Caenorhabditis elegans: one gene and its partner. The protein of the gene in region 1 interacts with the protein of each later gene in a pairwise test. Each region holds a gene or a part of one and is shown in the gene's direction. Other genes may lie near its edges. The genes, in order: ceh-51 and tbx-38.

The links.
Region 2: the proteins of ceh-51 (region 1) and tbx-38 interact in a two-hybrid assay, tested with the Caenorhabditis elegans proteins (one large-scale study listed by BioGRID).

The regions. Positions count from the first base shown.
Region 1 is NC_003283.11:18,872,540-18,876,738, forward strand, and holds ceh-51 (Homeobox protein ceh-51), read left to right. Parts: upstream 1-1,593; coding exon 1,594-1,847; intron 1,848-2,917; coding exon 2,918-3,368; 3' UTR 3,369-3,443; downstream 3,444-4,199. Other genes in the region: emb-4 (Intron-binding protein aquarius), read right to left, coding at 87-427. UniProt on the Caenorhabditis elegans protein: Required for mesoderm development, including specification of muscle and coelomocyte precursors.
Region 2 is NC_003281.10:11,783,298-11,787,949, reverse strand, and holds tbx-38 (T-box protein 38), read left to right. Parts: upstream 1-1,888; 5' UTR 1,889-1,897; coding exon 1,898-2,103; intron 2,104-2,125; exon of another isoform or gene 2,126-2,205; intron 2,206-2,264; coding exon 2,265-2,583; intron 2,584-3,349; coding exon 3,350-3,736; 3' UTR 3,737-3,868; downstream 3,869-4,652. Other genes in the region: C24H11.1 (Serine/threonine-protein phosphatase), read right to left, coding at 1-101, 149-202; srd-74 (Serpentine Receptor, class D (delta)), read right to left, coding at 3,876-4,064, 4,115-4,186, 4,258-4,536. UniProt on the Caenorhabditis elegans protein: Transcription factor. Required for mesodermal induction, acting redundantly with transcription factor tbx-37. Together with tbx-37, acts by inducing cell fates in the AB lineage, thereby playing a role in development of the anterior pharynx.

The DNA.
Region 1 (4,199 bases):
AAAAATCGTTTTTCGGTAAATTCAACCGTAAAATTCTTAATTTTCACGTAGAATTTCTCAAGAATTCCCCAAAAAAAAACACGCACTGAGCCCTGGCTCTTCCCTGTCGATCCAACTGCACATTTGGTACACTAAGCCTGACTAATCTCGCAAATAACGATTGTTCCATATTCGAATATTTCTGGAATGCCTGATTCTGTACAACTGGCGGCAGCTGATGATGATCTCCAATCATAATCCATCGTTTCAGTCGATTGTGTCCGTCTTGTGGATTTTGTAGTAACAATGGGATAAATGTTTCAACTTCAAGAATTTGAGCGGCTTCTTCCATTACGATATTATCGTAGCGGAAGCCGAGCTTCACGAGCTCATTTCGACGGAGAGCCGCGTGTGTACAAGTCATTGCGATGATTTTTGCCTCTTTCACCTGAAAAAATCCAGGATTTTTATAATTTTCAGAGTGTTTTTGTTGTAATTTCGTCGAAAAACTCTAAAATTTTCAAATTTAACATTTCGAAATTTGAATTTTAATTATATTTTTTCTTTTTTTTGCAAAATTTTGTATATTTTATTTGAAATTTGTTGTAGGTTGTAGTTTAGGGAGCACTATATGCCTAGATTCGATATATTTTTTTGCAATTTTCAACATTTTTTCCAATATCTTATTGATCAGATAATTTTTATGTCAGTTGTTTTTTTCTTTTTTGCTTTTTTAAAAGTTTTAAGTAGGCGGGCAATTGTTGTTCGGAAAATTCGGCGAATTCCGGCAAGTTTTTACCCGTTTGCCGGAAATGTTCAATTCCGGCAATGTGCCGGTTTGAAGGAAATTTTCAGTTCCGGCAATTTGCCAGAAATTTTAAATTCCGGCAAATTTTTGCCGGTTTGCAGGAAATTTTCAATTCCGGCAAATTGCCCATTTTGCCAGAAATTTTCAGTTCCGACAATTTGCCGGAAATTTTCAATTCCGCCAATTTGCCGATTTGCCGGAAATTTTCAATTCCGGCAAATCGCCCATTTTGCCAGAAATTTTCAATTCCGGCAGTTTGCCAGTTTGCCGATTTGCCAGAAATTTTTAATTCCGCCGGTTTGCAGGAAATTTCAAATTCCAGCAATTTGTCGATTTGCCAGAAATTTTCAATTCCGGCAACTTGCAAATTTGCCGGAAATTTTTAATTCCGGCAAGTTTTTGCCGAATTGCCGGAACTGCAGTTTTTGACTGAAATTGGCTTAAAAATAAGCTTTTCAGACCAAAATTTCTACCGTAATCCAACACAAAGTACCAAAACTGCCAAATTTTGGCATTGTCCGATTTGTACGAAAAACTACAAGAATCAATCGAAAATTCGCTTTTCCGTGGAAAAACTTCACATTTTTCCAGATTTTCAGACAATTCTGAAGAACAGCCGGAAAATCTCACCCAATTCCCAGGTATCTCACCTCTCCGGTGTCACCTTTTCCCGGTCATGTCTCCCGCCAAACAAAATCGCACCTTCTCGCCTCCCCGCCTACCTAGGCAGCAATGCTCCGCCTAGATTTACAGCCTCCCCAGCTGGAGAATAGCCACTATAATTCCCCCAATTCATTCCACACAAAATGTCATCATCCAACTATAATATTAATAACGGCGGTGACTATTATCCTTTGTCTTCTTCGAATCTTAATTCAACTTCTGCTATTACTAATGCTACTGTAATGGAATATTCCACAATGCCAAGCAGCTCTCCGGGCTCAATGAGCTCATCGCCAGCCTATCCGGCGGCCTATCAGGCTCCATCACCGTGCTACGTGGCGGATCCCAATCAGCTTTACTATCAACAACAGCTGGCTCATAATGGGAATGATATGTTGTAAGTTTTTTCGATACTTTTCAGTACAAAACGGGCGTTTTAGAGTGATTTTCACTACGTTTTTCTACCGAAATGCGTGAAGAACCGCTAATTTTAATGGGGTTATTCAATTAGCGTCGGAAAATTAAAAAGTGTAGAAAAATTACGTCACAACTGTATTAAAATACATTTAAAAACATGTATTTAAATACATTTTGCAAGTAACATTTCTTGAATAACCCCATAAGTTTTGACAGTGGGAAATTACTCAAAATATAGCTTTTTCACACTATATGGCCGCGAACGGGCATTTTTAGCAAAAAAAAACTTTGTTAGCTGCTTTGTTGCAATTAACAGCTCTAAAAATTCCAATTTGAACTATTTTGGTAGCTGCAATTTTGCAATTAACAGTGTCGAAAAGTCCAATTTGCACAAATTGGGCAAATTTGGTAGCTGCTTTTTTGCAATTAACAGTGGCCAAAATTCCAAATTTAGGCAATTTTGGTAGCAGCTGCTTTTTTTGCAATTAACAGCTCCAAGAAGTCCAATTTGCACAAATTGGGCAAATTTGGTAGATTTATTGCAACTAGCAATGTCGAAAATTCCAATTTGAACTATTTCGGTAGCTGCTTTTTTGCAATTAAAAGCTCCAAAAATTCCAAATTTATGCAATTTTGGTAGCTGTTTTCCTGCAATTAGCAGTGTCGAAAAGTCCATTCTGAACTATTTTCGTAGCTGCTTCTATGCAATTAAGAGCTCTTAACAATCCAATTCAGGAAATTTTGTTTGCTACTTTTTTTGCAATTAACTGTTTTCAAAAATTTCAATTTTGAACAATTTTCGAAGCTTCTTCTTCGCAATTAGCAGTGGCCAAAATTCCAAATTTAGGCAATTTTGGTAGCTGCTTTTTTTGAAATTAACAGCTCCAAGAAGTCCAATTGCCACAAATTGGGCAAATTTGGTAGCTTCTTTTTGGCATGTTAAATTTACAGCGGCAAAAATCCCTATTTGGAAAATTTGATCACTGCTTATTTGCAACAAAATTCATCTCCGTGATCGCTTTTCTTCCGAAAATTCCTTTTTTTTTACAGAGTTCAAGCCCATGCTCAAGCCTACCAAGCTCAATGCTTCGCCTGGTTCCAGCAGCAGTACTCACAACTCTCCCCATCCTCGTTTCCTCATCCTATGGTGGCTCATCACGCTGGCTTCATCCCACCACCGCCGTCTTTTCTACATCATCAGCATCAGCAGCATCCAAGAGCTCCTTCAGAAAAGCGGAGAGGCGCTCGAACTCCGTTCTCCGATTCTCAGCTTTACGCGTTGAGAACCAGATTTGAGCAGTGCGACACAATAAAGGTTGACGAGCGACGGAAGTTGGGAGCAGTCATCGGACTTTCGCCCGAGCAGATCAAGATTTGGTTTCAGAATCGGAGATTCAAGTTGAGAAAGGAGAAATACAAGCAGATCAAGCAGGACGCTGTGCAGCAACAGAAATCGGCGAAGGAGGAGGCGGAGGAGGACCAGAAGCATGTTATTTCTTGATTTGTGTAGCTTTTTGTCACTTGTATTATTGTGTGCCCCCAATAAACGATGTTCGATTGAATTGAAGAAAAAAAACCGCGAAATTTGAATTTTCAGTGTTTTTGAACCTTTTAGAACATCAAAATTAGTAGAAATTCCACAACTTCAAAATTTTTGTCTCAAATTTACAACTCTCCGAGCATGTGTATTATAGGCGGTGTAGTCGATTTTTTTTATTGCTTCATTAGACTCAAAATTGTCTGAAAACACAGAATTTCATAATGAAACTTTTTTGAAAACTTCTCAAAAAAAAATTATGACGGCTCAAAAAATGGCCAAAAATTCGTTAAAATTTCAAATTTGACCGACGACTTGTCAATGTCGTAACGGCTGAAGGCAATTTTTTTTTTGAAATCACCGTCAAATTTTGAGTATACAATGTAATTATCTTGCGTTTTCAACTTCATTTAGGTATTTTAAAGTCCATGGACTACGGCGAGATTTGGTTTTAAAAATTTAAAAATCTCTTCGTCCATCGATTTTAAAATACCTAAATGGAGTTGAAAACTCAAGATAATCATGCTGTAAACTCAAAATTTAACGATGATTTCAAAAAAAAATGTTTCCAGTCGCTGCGGCATTGACAAGTCGGTCAAATTCAAATTTTAACGAATTATAGGCCATTTTTTGAGCCGTCATAACTTTTTTTAAAGAAGTTTTCAGGAAGTTTTATTATGAAATTCGGCGTTTTCAGACAATTTTGAGTCTAATGAAGCAATAAAAAAATTCGACTACACCACCTATAATACACATGCTCGGAGAGTTGTAAATTTGAGACAAAAATTTTGAAGT
Region 2 (4,652 bases), on another chromosome or scaffold:
TTCAGAAGTTTCTTGATCATATCGGTCAACTTGAATCCCTTCTCATCGGCCTCCGTGATATGCCAATTGTTGGCTTCCGAACCCGGTTCAACGGAAGTTTTCTGAAAAGGTAGAGGCATTTTAAAGAATCATCTGAATTTCCACTTACCTTTGGAGCATCTGTTGCAGCAGGATTTGAAGAATTCGAAGAATTTGAACTCATTTCGTTTTCAATTCAAATTGATCCCTTTGAAGTGTGAATTATCAATTAATGAATTTATTTTCTTTCTATTGATTTATTGATTTTGATGATTTATTGATTGACCATTGCGATAACAATTGTTTTTATTTTTGACGCGAACATTTTTAAATTGTTTTAAACTTGCGTAACTAAATTGTTATTAAAGTTGTAAACTATCCAAAAATTGTAAATTTTATGTTCTACATTTTGATAGTTGACAACTTTTTTATAGCGTTTTTTTTTTTTTTTTGTTTTTGACGCGAAAAATTTCTTTTTTTTTTTGTAAATTTTTTTCAATAATTTTTTATTATAATTTTCGTGATTAAATTGTTATCAAAGCTATCAAAAAGTTTGTAAATCGTTTTCCAACTATTCCTAAATTCCTAATCGATATTGTTTTTTTCTTTAATTTTCCAGATGTCCTCCAAGTTTCCCACAATATCGTGTGTCTTTCGTTTTCCAAACCACGTGGCGTACCATACATGGCAGAGAGTTGTGTTACGGCTCAAAGACATGTGCCGCTTATACTTTGCTATAAAGTATTTTGCCAAGTGTTTCGAACCGTTTTTGAACCGTTATTATTACTTGAAAAATCTCATATTTGCAGTAAAAATTACTGGAAGAAATGTACATTTAATAGTAACGTTTAAGTATGAAGCTATTGAAAAATGTATGAAAAACAAAATATAAAATTATTTTTATAATCAATTTCTTGTGTTTCTAACCAATTTCAAAATGCACCAGCCCTCCCGCTGAGCCCGACACATCTTCTCCTTCCGAGCCAATTCAAAACTGCGCACCGCTATCACTAGAGTGTGAGGTGTCAAGGTGTGGGTGGAGGTATACTTTTGAAGTGTGAACTACACATTCTAGATTGCTGAAGACCATAGAGATGCTCAGTTGGAGGAAGAGGTGTTCAAGAATCAGACACCAACATTGGCTCGCAGTTTAATGAGTGTTCCGATTTTACAGTTATTTTGGATATACTTCGCGTGTGATCCTTCTAGGTCATTATTATATTGGTGTGAATTCAAAAAGCCTAAGCCTATGCTTTAGCCTAAACCTGAGCCTGAGCTGAGGTCTAAGCTTAAGCCTGAGCCTAAGCCTAAGCCTTAGCTTGAGCCTAAGCCTAATAAGGGATGGGCGGCGAACAGGCTTTCTTGGTGAACGGCGAATTCGGCGACTTTGCCTATGCAGTTTTTCCAGTTTTCCAGGTTTTCTCTGAAGGTTTTTTCTTGTTCAAAGGTGTAAGCCTAAGCCTAATTGTAAGCCTAAGCCCAAGCAGAAGCCTGACTGAGCCTAAACCTAAGCCTAGGCATAACTCTAAGCCTAAGCCTGAGCATAAGCCTATGTCTATGTCTAAGCCTAAACCTAAACCTAAAGACTAAGCCTAAGACTAAACCTAAAGACTAAGCCTAAGCCTGCACCCAAGGCCGCCGTGCGCTACATCTCCCATGGCCACACGCTCATATGTGCCAAGTTGTGCTCCACTTGCCACGTGTCCACCCCTACGTGTGGCCCAGCCCCTTCCGGCTCCGCCCACTTACCGGCTCAGTTTTACAGAATTAGTGAGAGTGGTTAGCACTTTTATTACAATTAGATTTTTGTTGCTCTACTTCCGGTCTCACTTTTTTGTGCTTCTGTTACTCCTATAACTCCCCCTGTTACAGCATTACCATGTACTCGTGCACCTCCCCATCCGGAATTAAAGTCTCCTTGAGCACACCAGAAATTTGGGAAGAGTTCTACCCGAAAACCGAAATGATTGTGACGAGAAACCGTGGAAGGGTGATTTTTCCGCATTTGGACTATATCATCAAGGGATTGGATCCAGGCAGTCTCTACTCGATTTATATTCATTTGGAACGTGTTGACGGGATTAAGTGAGTTGGGTTAAAAGATAGAAAAAAATTTTCAACTGGTAAATTGTAGAAAATTAAATTTGCTACAATTTCTAAATTGACAACTTTTTGATAGCTGGTATACTTTCAGAGTTATAACCTATAGGACGATTCCAATTTCAAAAACTTGAACTCATTTCCAGATACAAATTCGACGCAGGAGAATGGAAAGAATTCGCCAAAGGAGATCCGATTCTTCCAATCCAATACAAGGAGCATCCGCGTGGCAAGCGTACTGGAGCAGAATGGATGAGTGAGCCCGTCTCGTTTGCTCACATCAAAATCACGAATAACCCGGAAATCAAGGATCAGAAGGTCATTTTAGTGCAGAGTATGCATAAGCACATTCCAGTGGTCACTGTTAAACAGGTCCGACATTATAAGACAGGGTATCAAGAGGATTTTAGTGGGGAGCAGTTCCGGTTGGAGGCTACTGAATTTATGGTGGTCACTGCTTATCAGGTTAGTTATTTGAAAGGGTGTGGGAAATTAAATTTGCAACAATTTGTTGAAAAAAGTTGAAAACATTTTAATCGCGTCACTATCAACGGAGATGAAGTAGTTTAAAGTTGGAGAGCATATTTTCAAGTTTCCAAAACTGTAAATTTCGAAGCGCTATTCCAACTTTTCAAATCAAAAATAAATGTAGACATATAGAAAGCATCTAATTCAAAATTAAAAAAATACTGAAAAACTTGCCGAAAGTTGCCATTTGCTGAAGCTTAAGCTTAGGCTTAGGATTAGGCTCAGGCTTAGGCTTAGACTTAGGCTTAGGCTTACGCCATTATACAGGAAAAAACCTTCAGAAAAAACCTGGAAAACTTAAAAAACTGCATAGACAAATTTGCCGAATTCGTCGTTCGCCAAGAAAGCATGTTCGCTGCCCATCACTGATTAGCCCTAGGCTTGGGCTTGGGCTTGGGCTTAGGCTTAGGCTTAGGCTTAGGCTTAGGCTTAGGCTTAGGCTTAGGCTTAGTCTTAGGCTTAAGCTTAGGCCGCAAATCGACTTTTTCAAAATATTTGTCGAGCACGTCAAATTCGGTAAATTTATTCGGCATGGCAATTTCGGAAAAAGCATTAAGTTTTCATTAAGTGCCGGATTGAAACTACGCTATTAAAATTTTGTCAACTAAAAAATAAAAAAATGTAGCAAATTCAATTACCCACAACTAGAAATTTTTCACCAACTACATACATATATTCTCTACAAAATTGTACCCTTTTCCAGAACGAAATCCTCAAAAACCTCAAGGTTCATCACAATAAATTTGCATCCGGATTTCGTTCGAATGGCAAGAGACGGCTTTCTTCAGACTCTGAAAATTCTGAAAACTCTCCGCCCAAACGCAGCAAATTGGTAACCCCACCGACAATCTCACCGCAAATAGATCTCCCACAGCAAACCCCGTATTATTTCAACCAGAATTTTGTGGCTCCGCAGAACTACCAGCCACAGTTTGCAAGTGCTCAGAATTACAATTTCGAAGTTCAAAATAATGCTCAATTAGCTTGGAATATGTATTATCAAAAACAATACGAGTTTTGGTGGCAACAGCAGCAAATGATGATGCCAGGACAACCACAAGAGCTCAAAAATGAATTCCAAAGTTTGTGAATTTTTTGTAATATTTTTATACCCCCTACCTATTGCCTTTCTCCCCCTTTGAATATTGTACTGCACTGATCTCCTGGATTACTATTTATGTGTCTCATAAATAACAATTGAAATAAACTTTATTAATATTTAAAAAAAATCAAATAGTCCTCGCGGAAGACTGCGCCACGGACAACGTCACCCCAATCGAGACACTTCTCTGCCGCCGCGTCACAAAACTCCTATATGGTGCAACGTAGTAGATCGTTAGAATCGGATCGATGAGGCACGGGATGACGCAGGTTGGAAACGGCACGAACTCGGCAATCTCGAACTCGATGTGGATTCGCTGGAAATTTTTCAATGGGCTAGGCGTGCCTGCCTGCCTGCCTATCTCACCTGCGCCACAAGGAAGTATGCAACATTGGGAAGAAGGCATACCATCGGGAACATTGCCTGCATTGTGAGTGCCTGGAAAAATTGGAAAGTTGCCTGCTTGTTTGCCTACCTACTAGGCAGGCAAGCCTACTCCTACCACTCACCCTCACCAAATCCAACGACGATTTCTTGGTTCGTTCACTCAAATGTGTCTGAACTTCGTTGATTTGATTGAAGATCTGATGTCTCCAGTACAGAATGAAAACGGGCATCATGTAGGGAATTCCCATGAGAATTGTGGTATTGATAAGATAAACCAGCCGAGTTGTCGACTTGAAGCCTCCATATTCGCCGAAAGTATCTAATAGGTGATAGTTGGGATACGATCTTTCCGTGTTCAGGGTTACTGTAGGGAAGTCGTATGGAGGAATTAAAATTGCTACCTGAAAATTTTGGAATTTATTTAGAAAGTGGTCCTAGTATTAGGCTTAGACCTAGGCTCAGGCTCAGGCTCAGGCTGAGGCTCAGGCTTAGGGTTAGTCTTAGGTTTAGGTTTAGG